Linked DNA regions of Macaca mulatta. The protein of the gene in region 1 binds, or shares a complex with, the protein of each later gene. Links are inferred from orthologs where the notes say so. Each region holds a gene or a part of one and is shown on either strand. Other genes may lie near its edges.

Region 1 (4,398 bases):
GTCTCATTACTTTATACATGGTCAAACTGAAACATGATGAAAAAGATCCTCAAATATGTAGAGAAAAATTTAACCCCACCTCCCAAAAAATACTTTTAAAAACCTCTTTGACTCCAGTCTCTAAAAAGATAGGTGAGTTTGAACAGTTTTCTGTGGCAGAACACACACCGAAAGGCCCCCTTCTATTTACTGATCAGAAGTTCCGGATCTCACCCCCTCAGTAACTCAGAATCCAGCTTGCTGTCACTTTCATTTTTTTCTTCTGTGCTCTCCAAGCCCCCAGGCTTGATCCTTAATGCACCTCTGATTCTGATCCTCCCATGTATTAACAGAGAGGATTGAAAAAAAAGGAAAGCAATCCCTTGGCATGGAGACATTAAAGTGACAGTGCTACTCAATGGGCACTTGATGCAGGATGAGTTGGCGAAGCAGATTTCTTCACACTGGAGTCATTCACATCATGCCATCTCTTCGCATCCAAGCAGCTCCCTATCCGGCGAGGAAAAACACTGAGACTTCGAGAGAAGCCAAACCTTCCCCCAAAGGTGTTTTCAGAGACGCCGTAGTAGTATTAGACATGTAAGCATAAGCTATGCAAACGGTCCGCGATTTCCTCAAAATGAAAAAGTGCAGCTGCTTGGCTTTCACATCCACATCCTTTTCTCTCAATCTCTCTTCAAACTACCCACCTTCCTTTTGCAGAAAAGACAAGACATTTCTCTGCCACCGCTGGCCACCCCTGCCCAAGCCCCGTTCTTTTAGGGAAGAGCACTGAAATGTCCTGCACCCTCCACGCGATGAAGTGTTTCTTCAGGCAGGAGCAACAGCAGCACTAGAAATTATATAACTCTCGAATTTGGCTTCTCTAAGACATGGAGACTGGAGGGTCGGGGGTTGCCGGTCTGGGAGATACTGCTGGGCATTTAACGTGCACAAAACAGCGCCAGGCCTTGCAGTGCCCCCCACCCTGAGACACGACTGACAAGTGGGTCTTCTCGGGGGGTAGTGGGCAAATTTCTCTCCTGTCTCCTTCCAAGCGGGGCTAAAGGATGGAAATTGAGGGGACTACAGACTGGGGAGAGGAGTCAGACGGCTGAGAGGGGAGGAGGCTAGTCGGGGCTGCTCTGACGGCGCTGGGCGGCTGGTTGGGGGTTTGGAGGAGGAGGTGCCCGAGAAACAGAGCTTTAACACCACACGGGCCAGGGCAAAGGGGCGAGTTCCCTCAAGGACTGAAAGGGGCAGGCAGCTAGTTCCCAGCTACCAGAGGTGCCCTGAGGAGAGGCAGGAGCGCAGTAACATTCCAGCATTTGGGCCGCCCCATCCTCTCCGCAAGACGCGAGGAAAACAGGGAGCTAAACTGACAAATAGCAAGGGAAGGAAATACTCTGCTGGCGATGGGGGCGGACCCACAGGCACCTGGACCTCCTCTAAGCGAATAAGTGGCCCTAATTTCTAGACACCGCGCCCAATCACAGACAGGATGGAGGGCGCGGCTTTTGACTGAGGGGGGCGGGCCCGGGCTGCAAGCGAGAGGCATGAGCCGTAAACCCGCCCCACTTCCCGCCCACCAGCAAATCACGTGAGCCATCAAAATGGCGGTGTTCGGGTATGAGGCTGGGGCCAAGCTGAGGGATTCAGGTGTGGTGCCGGTGGTAACTGAGGAAGCGCCCAAGGTAGGCGGAAATCCGAAGTGGTATGGGGGGTGATTTCTGCAGCTTCAGAGTGTTGGCAGAGTCTTCCAAGATGATACACTTAAAGGAGATTTGAAAAGTTAAAACAGCCCCCAAGTCCATGCAAGGAGCAGTCGATTAAGTCTCCAGCTGTTGTGGAAAGAGGCGGAGAGAACGTAGATTACCTAAGTTCTAGTACTCATTATCTGCGGTTTGTTTTCTCTTGTCTCCAGGCCTTTGCACAGGCTTTTTCTTCAACTTGGAATATTTCCCTGCTTCTATCCGTCCCAACTCCCCTGCCAAATTGTTCTCTTTAGGATATTGGTTTAAATGTCACTTCCTCCGGGAAGCCTTCCCACGCCTCCTCTGGCTAGATTAAGTTTGCCTTTTCTTAGGTTGTTGGGTTTTTCGTTTATGTCACTCTCTCATTCTGTGTTTAAATTGCCAGCATTTTTGTTCTGAACTCCCACTACATTGTGGATTCCTGAGGATGGGATGACTGTATCTTGATTACTCGGAGGCCTGGCATATACCAGGTGCTCCCTAAATTATGAGAGAATACTGAATAAAATTCTAAAGTTGAAATTTATTATTAGGTGAAAAATGTATTATTAGGTGAAATAATACACATGAAAGCACTACAAAACCGTTAAATGATTTGCAAACTATAATCCACTCTTACTGGTATAAGCGTGGTGACTAGTTGAGTGGCCTTAAGAGGGGAGGGGTGTAATGAAAGCAGTCGATTCTTTGACAGTGCCTTGCAAAGCTTAAGCACTCAATAATATTTCCTGTGTTCTTTTCAGTATTTGCTATCCTGTAATCATAATCCTGGGTGTCTGCTTTCCCTATAGAGAGTTTAGGGTGTAGACTAGGTAGGAGATTAGTAGAAGATATTGCCTGGAAGTTTATTTTGTTTTTTGTTTTTGGTGGAAGGTGGAGGACTTCAGTGAATTGGATGAGAGCAAAACAAAAATTTATGTAAGGTTTATGGTTACTCATGTTATTGACATCTGCCATCTTAGTACAATAGATGGGTTAGGTATAGAATCTCCCTTAGATGTTACTATCCCTTATACTTTCCATTTGGGTGTCCAGGAGAGGAAAAAGATGTAAGTCTAGTCACTGAAAAATTGTAATTTGTAAAATATTTTACTTTTTTTTCCCCCTGCCCTCTCCAGAAATGTTACAGAAAAAGATTGAGTACAATTCTGCGATGATGCAGAGAAAGAAATTGGTCCATTATTACTCATTGTGTAATGCCATAAGAAGGTTCAAAGAAGCTCATAACTTACGTATGTTGATGCCAGGAGCCGTGTATAATCAACTGGCCCTTCTATAGTTAGGATTGGTACATACCGCTCATTCAGCAAATGAGTATTACGGTAATATTCAATATGTGTCCATTGACTACAGCATCAAAAGCACTCGGTGCTATTAAAATGCAGATTCTAGGCCTCATCCTACTCCTGCTGAATCCAGATATCTCAGGAGGGAGTTCATGAGACTGCATTTCAAATAAATACCCCATGTGATTCTTGTGCATGCTGAAGGTTGAGAACCACTGATTTATGAAGTATTTTGTGTATTCATTATGCTTTATCCCCTCTAATCCTCTTGTCTAGGACTCCTTAACCTTGAGATTTAGTATTTGCCTTCAATATAAACGTTAAAATTGAGATTAGTGTACATTTGTAAAGAGGCTATTTGGCTAATCTGGAGGAAAAAAAGTAAAAAGCAGTGAATTTAGCGGCAATAGACTTTCCACTTGGCTGCTGTAGTAGGTAAACATTTGCAACTACATGTTTGGATTTAACAAATGTTATTAAGACTTTTCACAGAAACTCTAGAGTCTTGCCCAGAGCAAAACATTCAGAAAGGATCCTGTCTGAGAGTGCAGGGTTTGTTTTCTTGTTGTTGTTGATTTGTTTTGTTTTTTAATCTCTCTAGTTTCTGTTAAGATGCTACTGGCCAAGTCTTCATGGTCCCTTGACATTGGCAGCTGTCTGTTCATCACACTTGGGACACAAGAACCTTCCAACCAAGGAGCCCAGTGCTGTGGGTCTCTGGGGCCCGGCGCGGTGGCTCACGCCTTTAATCCCAGCACTTTGGGAGGCCGAGGCAGGCAGATCACTTGAAGTCAGGAGTTCGAGACCAGCCTGGCTAACATAGTGAAACCCCGTCTCTAGTAAAAATACAAAAATTAGCCAGGTGTGGTGGCAGGTGTGGGTCTCTGCTATACTACATAATCATTTCTAGCAAAGGCTCTGCTTCCACCACAGGTGGTAATAGGGAACTGGTTATGTAATTTATGTACTTCAAAGTAGTAGCCACAATCTACTGCCTGTTCCCTTCCTGAAGCAGTGTCCCTCTTTCTGATTTTTCTCTCTCACTGTTCTCCAAGGCAATCCCTGCTCTCTCCTACCTCTCTAGGAAATGAAACACGATTTCCAAAATGAACTCAGTCTTTCATGAGAAACTGAGGATAGAGATGTCAATAAGCAGCCATTGTTTCCACCTCCCCACCTGAAGAGCTAGGAGGACAACTACAAAGGGCCTGACTGCCTTCTCAGAATGAGGAGAGAGGAAAACAGAAACAGTATCAGTATGTTATCCCTCTAAACTAAATCTTAAGCAAGCCAACCTTTCAGACCCTCAGTTTCTCATCTGTATAGAGATAATCATTATACTACCAATTTCTCAAGTTAGTGTGTGAATCAGAAAGCCA
Region 2 (4,238 bases), on another chromosome or scaffold:
CTCGCTCTGTCGCCCAGGATGGAGTGCAGTGGCGCGATCTCGGCTCATTGCAAGCTCCGCCTCCCAGGTTCATGCCATTCTCCGGCCTCAGCCTCCCGAGTAGCTGGGACTACAGGTGCCTGCCACTACACTCGGCTAATTTTTTTTTGTATTTTTTAGTGGAGACGGGGTTTCACCATTAGCCAGGATGGTCTCGATCTCCTGACCTCGTGATCCACCCGCCTCAGCCTCCCAAAGTGCTGGGATTACAGGTGTGAGCCACCGCGCCCGGCAATAAAACATTCTTATTGACTTTCGAGTGGCAAAATAATAAAGATCATGCCTTCCTTCCTCTTTACTGTGTTACAAATTGCATAATGAACATGTATTATTAATTATGCAGGGCAATGCATATAACTGGCTTTAGTTTATAAAAGAACGTACCAGCATACGGTCCATTAGGCTTTATTACACTGCAGGGCCATCCAAAGCAAGAGCCTCTAGATCTCAGCGTGGTGAACAAATCTCAAATGGGGTTTCGTGCTCACTTGGACGACATCGCTGCTCATCGATGTGTAGTTAACATCCTGGCAGACCTTTCTGCTGCTGGATGTGTGAGGGGCACAGCACAGGGCTCTGGAAGTCCCTGCTGACTGCTCGAAGCCTTTCTCCATGCCAAAACCTCTGACCAAATGCTTAATGCTATCTGCTCTAGGCTGCTGAGTCTGCCACACGTTTGACATTTATTCCCACATCCATCCCACGAAACAAGCAGGGCTTTCCATTTTACAGATGTGAAAACCAAGGTTCAAAGAGACTCAATAACCCACCCCAGGACAAGTGACAGAACTGAGACTTCTGACTCCAAATCCTATGCTCCCCCACCACACCTCTTTGCCTTTCAATTTCACACCAATGGACTGTCTGGGTGACCCTGGCATAGGTTCTTCTAAGAACTGGCTCTTAACAAAAACTTCTGGCCGTTATCTGACTGAATGTCACACACGAGTGCTGTAAGAACTTGCTTAGAGCCTTTTTCCTAAACCTGGACACCAGCTCTTGCCTTGTGAATTTCTTCATCACAAAACACATGTTCCCAGGGGCCCAGGCAAAGTCTCCAAGTACCCAATCCCCTTTCTTCAGCTGTGCCCACACCCTCAGCCTTCCTGTCAATCCAGGTGACCCAGGGTTACCCAGAGGTCCAGGCCCCAGTTGTTTACTTGAACATCTGATGTCTCCCAAACACCTGCGTGAAACGCTCTCTGTCCAGGATGTGTCCATAGCGCAGGGTGACGTAGAAGGTCTGTTTCCCGCTGTACCGCTGGATACGCATGAACATCTCCTGAGGCTGGTCCTTGGTTTCTGTCAGGGGAATCACATCTGCCAGGGGACAGTATGTGTCCTGCCGCCAGCCCCAGAAGCTCAGATGGGCCACCCGCAGCATGGTGCCAGACTCATTCAGATACAGGATACCAACCAGTCTCCGAAAGAAATAGCTCATCCAGCACAGCATGGTCAGGGCAAAGCCCGATATCCCACTCATCAGGCACACGGTGTTGAGAGTCAGGAGGCCCTGGGAATACCAGTAACAGGCTGGTGGCAAAACTACCACTGTCAGGGCAGTCTGTGCCAACTTCAGTCGAGACAGGAACCCAAAGATTCTGATGGCATCAAAACGGTAAAACATCCAGAATTTCTCAGTCTCTTGGTTTGGTGGTTTCTCCTTCGAGGTGGGTGACCTGCTCCCCACCCACCTCTTAGGATCCTCCTGCCCACTGCAGCACCACAACCCATGGAGAGGCCTTTCCCACGCAGCTTTTCCCCGAAATCTAGGCACAACTCGGAGAAGGGCAGCCTGAAAGGGAGACAGTAGACGATTTCTCTCATGGAATTCAACCACATTAATCACACGGTGAACATCTGCAAAGCACCATACTCCAAGGCTTCTGCCAATCCTGCAAGGTCACCATTATTGCCAGAGGAGGGAAGGGTAAAGCCAGATGTTATCTCATGTGGGCATCACAACAGCTATCTAAGATAGTTATCACTATTTCCACTTTACCACTAGGGAAACTAAGCCCAGAGAGGGTAAGATATTTACCAAAGAACACACAGTCAGTGAGTGCAGCAGAGTCCTCCTTCCATCAGGCAATTCCAAAGAAATACAAGAAAGGAGGTGCGGCCATCAATAATTCAAAACATATCTAGGGAGTCCCAACTCTGGGCTGGACAATGGATCCACAAGGGGGTGTGAACATTTCCCCAAGCAGGAAACTGAATAATCAATGTCTTAGTGGGGAACTCAAGCAACAAATCTGTGAGATAGTTATCCCAACAAACTTTCTAATTCTGTTTACGTTATCTTGGGTGCTGGAGGGAACTGCTGCTTTCCCTTAACCTAGTCAGGGGAAGGGGAAACAACGAGGAGGAGGAGGAGCGAGGCAGGGAGGCCCCTACACGTAGCACAAACATATTATTAGGTGGGTAGTGAAGCAGTAAAAGCTCTGGTTCCAATTCTGGCTCCATCAGTCACTACCTGTGGATTCTTGAGCAAATCACTCCACACCCCTGAGCTTCGGTTTCTTCGGCTTTCAAAATGGGGACTCAGAACACAGTGAACGAGAAGATGGTTTCAAAGCCCTCAACTTAGTACCTGATGCGCTGTGAGAGCTCGGCGAGTTTTAGCTATTACTACTGTGAGCACGTGACGCAAGGAGGGCAGAGAAAGCCCGGGAATGGCGAATGGTAACCCACGCCAGAGCTTCCTCCCACGGATTCTTCAGGTCCGAAACTCAGGCGTCGTGCCTGCCTGCCCCAGCTCTGACCCCGACCGACCCCCAAAGAGCATCACCCCCTCAAGGATCGCCACCAGCCTCCTTACCATGGCTCCACAGCCTGCTGCCGGAAGTAAGTCCCACCGGCCCCCGGAACCTCTAAGAGCGCATGCTCGAATGTACAAGGCGGGCGTGATCCGCGTTGCACCCTGGGATTTGCGGTCCAGGAATCGTGGCTGGCGCTAGTCCCAGGCGTTGTGGGAACGGAGTCTCCTCCTCTTCCCGACGTGCCCTGCGGCTCGGGGGCCGAACTCGGAAGTTCCGGGCCGAGTTCCTGATGCCAATGAGTCTTGCGAGGTGCGGTTAGACGCTGGGGACATGGCAGCTCCTGGCCCAGCGCTCTGCCTCTTCGACGTGGATGGGACCCTCACCGCCCCGCGGCAGGTAAGTGGCGCCCGGCGGGCTGGTGGCAGCCGACTCAGAGTCCGTGCTGTTCCCAGTTGGAGCTATCGACTACCCAGGGTCGGCGCCAAGGGCTGGCTAAGGACCGCCTGCGTCCTCACGGGGGCTGGACCCTATTCTAGGTGCCCTGGAGGGATGAGAGGGAGGCCCTAACCAGCTCTTCAAGAGCTCTGATGCTTGGAAAGATGAGACGGGGCTGAAGAACTCTTAAGAGAAGGAAACTTATGCTTGGTTGGAAAATGCAATCTGGACTCACCGCTAGTCCTCGGGACCGATGGACCAGGATTTGAACCCGACATCAGCTGTGTGCCCCTTATCAGCTGTTTGCCGGCCTCAATCCTGTAACCAATGGGCTGTGCCGTGAGTCATTATATTAAAAACAGGTTTCCAGGTGAAATCGACCTAGTGGAGTCTCATCTTCACCTCTTCACAGCTGTGTGACCTTGAGCAAGTCATTAACCTTTCTGAGCCTCAGCATCTACAGCTTTAAATGGGGATATTACGTGTTCCATATGGTGACTGTGAGGATCAAATGAGATTGTGTAAGTTCTTGAAAGTATGTTGCACACAGCACACTAGGCCTCAGTAAATAGTAACCACCTCCACCACACCCATCTCCAGCCCCTGCAGTGGACTAGGAAGATGGAGGAGCCCTAGGTTATTACAGGCTGCCCGCTGAGAGCCTCTTTGGGCCTTTCGAAACTTGCTTTCCACTTCCAGATTTTGCTGCTACAGGCACAGATAAGTTTCAGTCACTATCAGCCTTGAGATGAGGCTTTCCTGTCCCCTTTTCAGAAATTGGCCACTGACAACCGGCCATTTCAACTTGAGAGTGGACCCCAATGGTCTCACTATCCTCAACTAATATCCTCACCCCTCGTAGTCTTCGCTTGGTGGTAACAATGGTGTGCTCCAGAAAGCCACGTGAAATGCGTGTGACCTTAGACGTATCATTTTGCCCTTGTCAGCCACAGGTTTGATCTACCTAGTGATGACACTCAACTCCCAAGTTCTTCAAAGGCT
Region 3 (3,617 bases), on another chromosome or scaffold:
GTAGAAGCAGAGGACTCGTCCCCGTGTGCCTTTACATGCTGTTTGGCTTTTTAGTGCATTGCTTTGCAAAATGAAGAAATGAACTAAAAACAACCCTTCCTCCCACATTCTACTGCTGGTCTCAAGGTGTCTCTCACCGGGACCTACAACCCTGGTCTCCTAGCCCCTCTCCCCGTCCAATATCATCCACACAGCCGCCAGGAGACACGTTTCCAATTGCAGATTCTTCCAGAAACATGATTCCAACCCCATCCCTCTTTTTTCTTTTTTTGAGACAGAGTCTTGCTCTATCGCCCAGGCTGGAGTGCAGTGGCACTATCTTGGCTCACTGCAAACTCTGCCTCCCAGGTTCACGCCATTCTTCTGCCTCAGCCTCCCGAGTAGCTGGGACTACAGGCGCCCGCCACCACACCTGGCTAATTTTTTTGTATTTTTAGTAGAGACAGGGTTTCACTGTGTTAGCCAGAATGGTCTTGATCTCCTGACTTCATGATCCGCCCGCCTCGGCCTCCCAAAGTGCTGGGATTACAGGCGTGAGCCACCGTGCCCAGCCCATCCCTCTTCTTAAATCCCCGCCCCCTGCCCCTGGCATGGCTCTCCCCACCAACCAGGAGGTTTGAGATCAAGCTCTTTAATCAGGTGCCCCCACTCACTGCACCCCATTCCCTGGTACACACTGCTCCCTCTGCCCAGAGTCCTCTGCTCTCCTTACCTCCCCCAGGAAGCCCTACCTGCCCACTCTGGGCTCCCACAGCGCCCCAGGCTTCTCCATCTCAGAACCACTGGCTCTTAAGGAAACTGTTATCCATCCAGGACCAGATGACAAGTGCTGTGAGGGGCTCTCTTTGGATCCCTTATGTGATCTGGCATGAGTGGAGACTCCCAGGACACTGAGATGGGGGTGTTACTCCACTCAGTCATTCAACAAGCCACTACCAAGTGTCAGCTTTGCACCAAATCCTGTGCTCAGCCTTGGGAGACAGGAGGGAGACTGAGTCATGGTGAATAAGGAACCAAGCCCAGCACTGTGAAGGGGTGGTGCCTTGGCCAGGGAGGTCAGGAAGGGCATCCTGATTAGGAATAGTGGAGCTGAGACCGGAATAACATGAAGTCCACGGGGAACAGTGTTCCTGGCAGAAGGAACAGAGAACACAAAGGCCTGTGGTGGGAACTGGCACAGAAAAGAAGGAAGATGTCTAGAAGGTAGCAAGTGTTGGGAGAAGGATGGGAGGGTGCTATGGTCTGAATGTTTATGGCCCCCTGAAATTCATGTTGCAGTGTATCTCCAATGCAATAGGATTAAGAGGTCAGGCCTTTGAGAAGAGAGGCACTTAGATCATAAGGGCTCTGCTCTCATGAATGAGATTAGTTCCCTTATAAAAGAGGTCTGGGCTGGGCATGGTGGCTCATGCGTGTAATCCCAGCACTTTGGGAGGCTGAGGTGGGCAGATCATGAGGTCAGGAGATCGAGACCAGCCTGGCCAACATGGTGAAACCCTGTCTCTACTAAAAATACAAAAATTAGCTGGGCGTGGTGGTGCATGCCTGTAGTGCCAGCTACTCGGGAGGCTGAGGCAGGAGAATTGCTTGAACCAGGGAGTCAGAGTTGCAGTGAGCCAAGATGGCACCACAGCACTCCAGCCTGGCAACAGAGCGAGACTCCGTCTCAAAAAAGAAAACAAATGTCTGAGGGGGCCAGGCATGGTGGCTCATGCTTGCAATCCCAGCACTTTGGGAGGCTAACGCAGGTGGATCGCTTGAGCTCACGAGTTTGAGACCAGCCTGGGCAACGTGGTGGAACCCCATCTCTACAAGAAATACCAAAATTAGCTGGGTGTGGTGGTGTACAACTATAGTCCCAGCTACTCAGGAGGCTGAGGTGAAAGGATGGCTTCAGCCCAGGAGGTGGAATTTGCAGTGAGCCAAGATAGTGCCACTGTGCTCCAGCCTGGGCAATAGAGCCAGACCTTGTCTCAAAAAACAGTAGAGGTCTGAGGGGCTTGTTTGCCTCTTATACTATGTGAGGACACAGCCAGAAGGTGTCATCCTTGAAGCAAGCAGAGAGCAAACCCTGACCAGACCTAGATCTGGTGACACCTTGATCTTGAACTTCCCAGCCTCTAGAACTGTGAGCAATAAATTTTTGTTGTTCATAAATGACCCAAGCTAAGAGATTTTGTTAGAGCAGCCTGAAAGGACTGAAACAGAGGTTACTCAAGCTGTGCCAGCAGTAAGGACCATGGGAACCTACCAGAGGACTCAGCCAGAGAATCAGAACTTAATTCACGGCCAGGCACGGTGCCTCATGCCTGTAATCCCAGCACTTTGGGAGGCCAAGGCAGGAGGATTACTTGAGCCCAGGAGTTCAAGACCAGCCTGGGCAACATAGTGAGACTCTGTCTCTGTAAAAAATACAGTTTTTTTAATTAGCCAGGCGTGGTGGTGTGTGGACTGGACTCCCAGCTACTCAGACTGGAGTCCTAGCTACTCAGGAGGCTGGAGTGAGTAGCTGGACTGTAGTCCCAGCTACTCAGGAGGCTAGACTCCAGCTACTCAATAGACTGGAGTCCCAGCTACTCAGGAGGCTGAGGTGGAAAGATCGCTTGAGCCTGGGAGGCAGAGGCTGCAGTGAGCCGAGTTAGTGCCACTGCACTCCAGCCTGGGCAACAGAGCAAGACCCTGTCTCAAAAAAGAACTTGATTCACCACAGTCACTAGAGTGAGAGAAGGGGAGCTTGGAGGAGGAACGGTGGGAGCCTGACCTGGGGTGGCAGCTGAGGCTGTGGACAAGGGCGGATACCTGGTAGATGGTGACCCTGGCACTAAGGTCAGGCTCCATGTGCCTCAGGCCAAACGTGGCCAGCTCCACCGGGTCCTGGGACAGGTCCCGGGGCACTGGGAAGGGGTTGATGTTCATGAATCGAGGGAACCACAGCTTCAGGCGCAGCAACTTGAGCATGGGGTAGCTTTTGCGTCCAAATATCTGAATCAGCAGGAACTCTGTCTCCTTGTTGGGCATCACACCTGTGCTGGGCAGATGCAGGCAGAACCTCAGAGACGGAGGGGGACGGAGGGAAGGGAAGAGGAGAGAAGAGAACATTGAAGTCAGGGAATTGATCACAGACAGGGAGAAAAGAATCAGAGAGAATTAGAAAGAAAAAGGCTCATGCCTGTAATCCCAGCACACTGGGAGGCCAAGGGGAGAGGATCGCTTGAGCCCAGGAGTTTGAGACCAGCCTGGGCAACATAGCGAGACCCTACTTCTAAAAGAAAGATAGAAAGAGAGGAAGGAAGGGACGGAGGGAGAGAGGGAGAGAGGGAGGGAAGGAAGGAAGGAAGGAAAGCAGGCAGGCAGGCAGGAAGGAAGGAAGGAAGGAAGGAAGGAAGGAAGGAAGGAAGGAAGGAAGGAAAAGTCAGAGGAAGGCAAGAAAGAGAGATGAGTGATGAAAAGATGGATTGGCAGAGGGAGGGGAGCCAGAGAGACAGAGAGGGAGCCATGGAGGAAGGAGGGGCTGAGACCCAGGAGAGGTGTTGCCAGCTATCAGGGTAGCCCACTCCCCACCCCGCGCCAGCCTCCTGGCCTCACCGTGGCTCTCCATCTGCTCCAGGACGGCAATC

The links.
Region 2: TMEM126B (region 1) and TMEM186 share a complex: the UniProt entries of both Homo sapiens proteins name them as parts of the mitochondrial complex. The link is inferred for Macaca mulatta from reciprocal best matches to the Homo sapiens genes TMEM126B and TMEM186.
Region 3: TMEM126B (region 1) and ECSIT share a complex: the UniProt entries of both Homo sapiens proteins name them as parts of the mitochondrial complex. The link is inferred for Macaca mulatta from reciprocal best matches to the Homo sapiens genes TMEM126B and ECSIT.

What each region holds. Positions count from the first base shown.
Region 1 is NC_133419.1:86,220,300-86,224,697, forward strand, and holds the start of TMEM126B (complex I assembly factor TMEM126B, mitochondrial), read left to right. Parts: upstream 1-1,586; 5' UTR 1,587-1,592; coding exon 1,593-1,673; intron 1,674-4,398. UniProt on the Homo sapiens protein: As part of the MCIA complex, involved in the assembly of the mitochondrial complex I. Participates in constructing the membrane arm of complex I.
Region 2 is NC_133425.1:10,021,373-10,025,610, forward strand, and holds TMEM186 (transmembrane protein 186), read right to left. Parts: upstream 2,889-4,238; 5' UTR 2,864-2,888; coding exon 2,861-2,863; intron 1,835-2,860; coding exon 1,196-1,834; 3' UTR 429-1,195; downstream 1-428. Other genes in the region: PMM2 (phosphomannomutase 2), read left to right, coding at 3,132-3,197. UniProt on the Homo sapiens protein: As part of the MCIA complex, required for efficient assembly of the mitochondrial complex I.
Region 3 is NC_133424.1:12,245,109-12,248,725, forward strand, and holds part of ECSIT (evolutionarily conserved signaling intermediate in Toll pathway, mitochondrial), read right to left. Parts: coding exon 3,586-3,617; intron 3,024-3,585; coding exon 2,800-3,023; intron 1-2,799.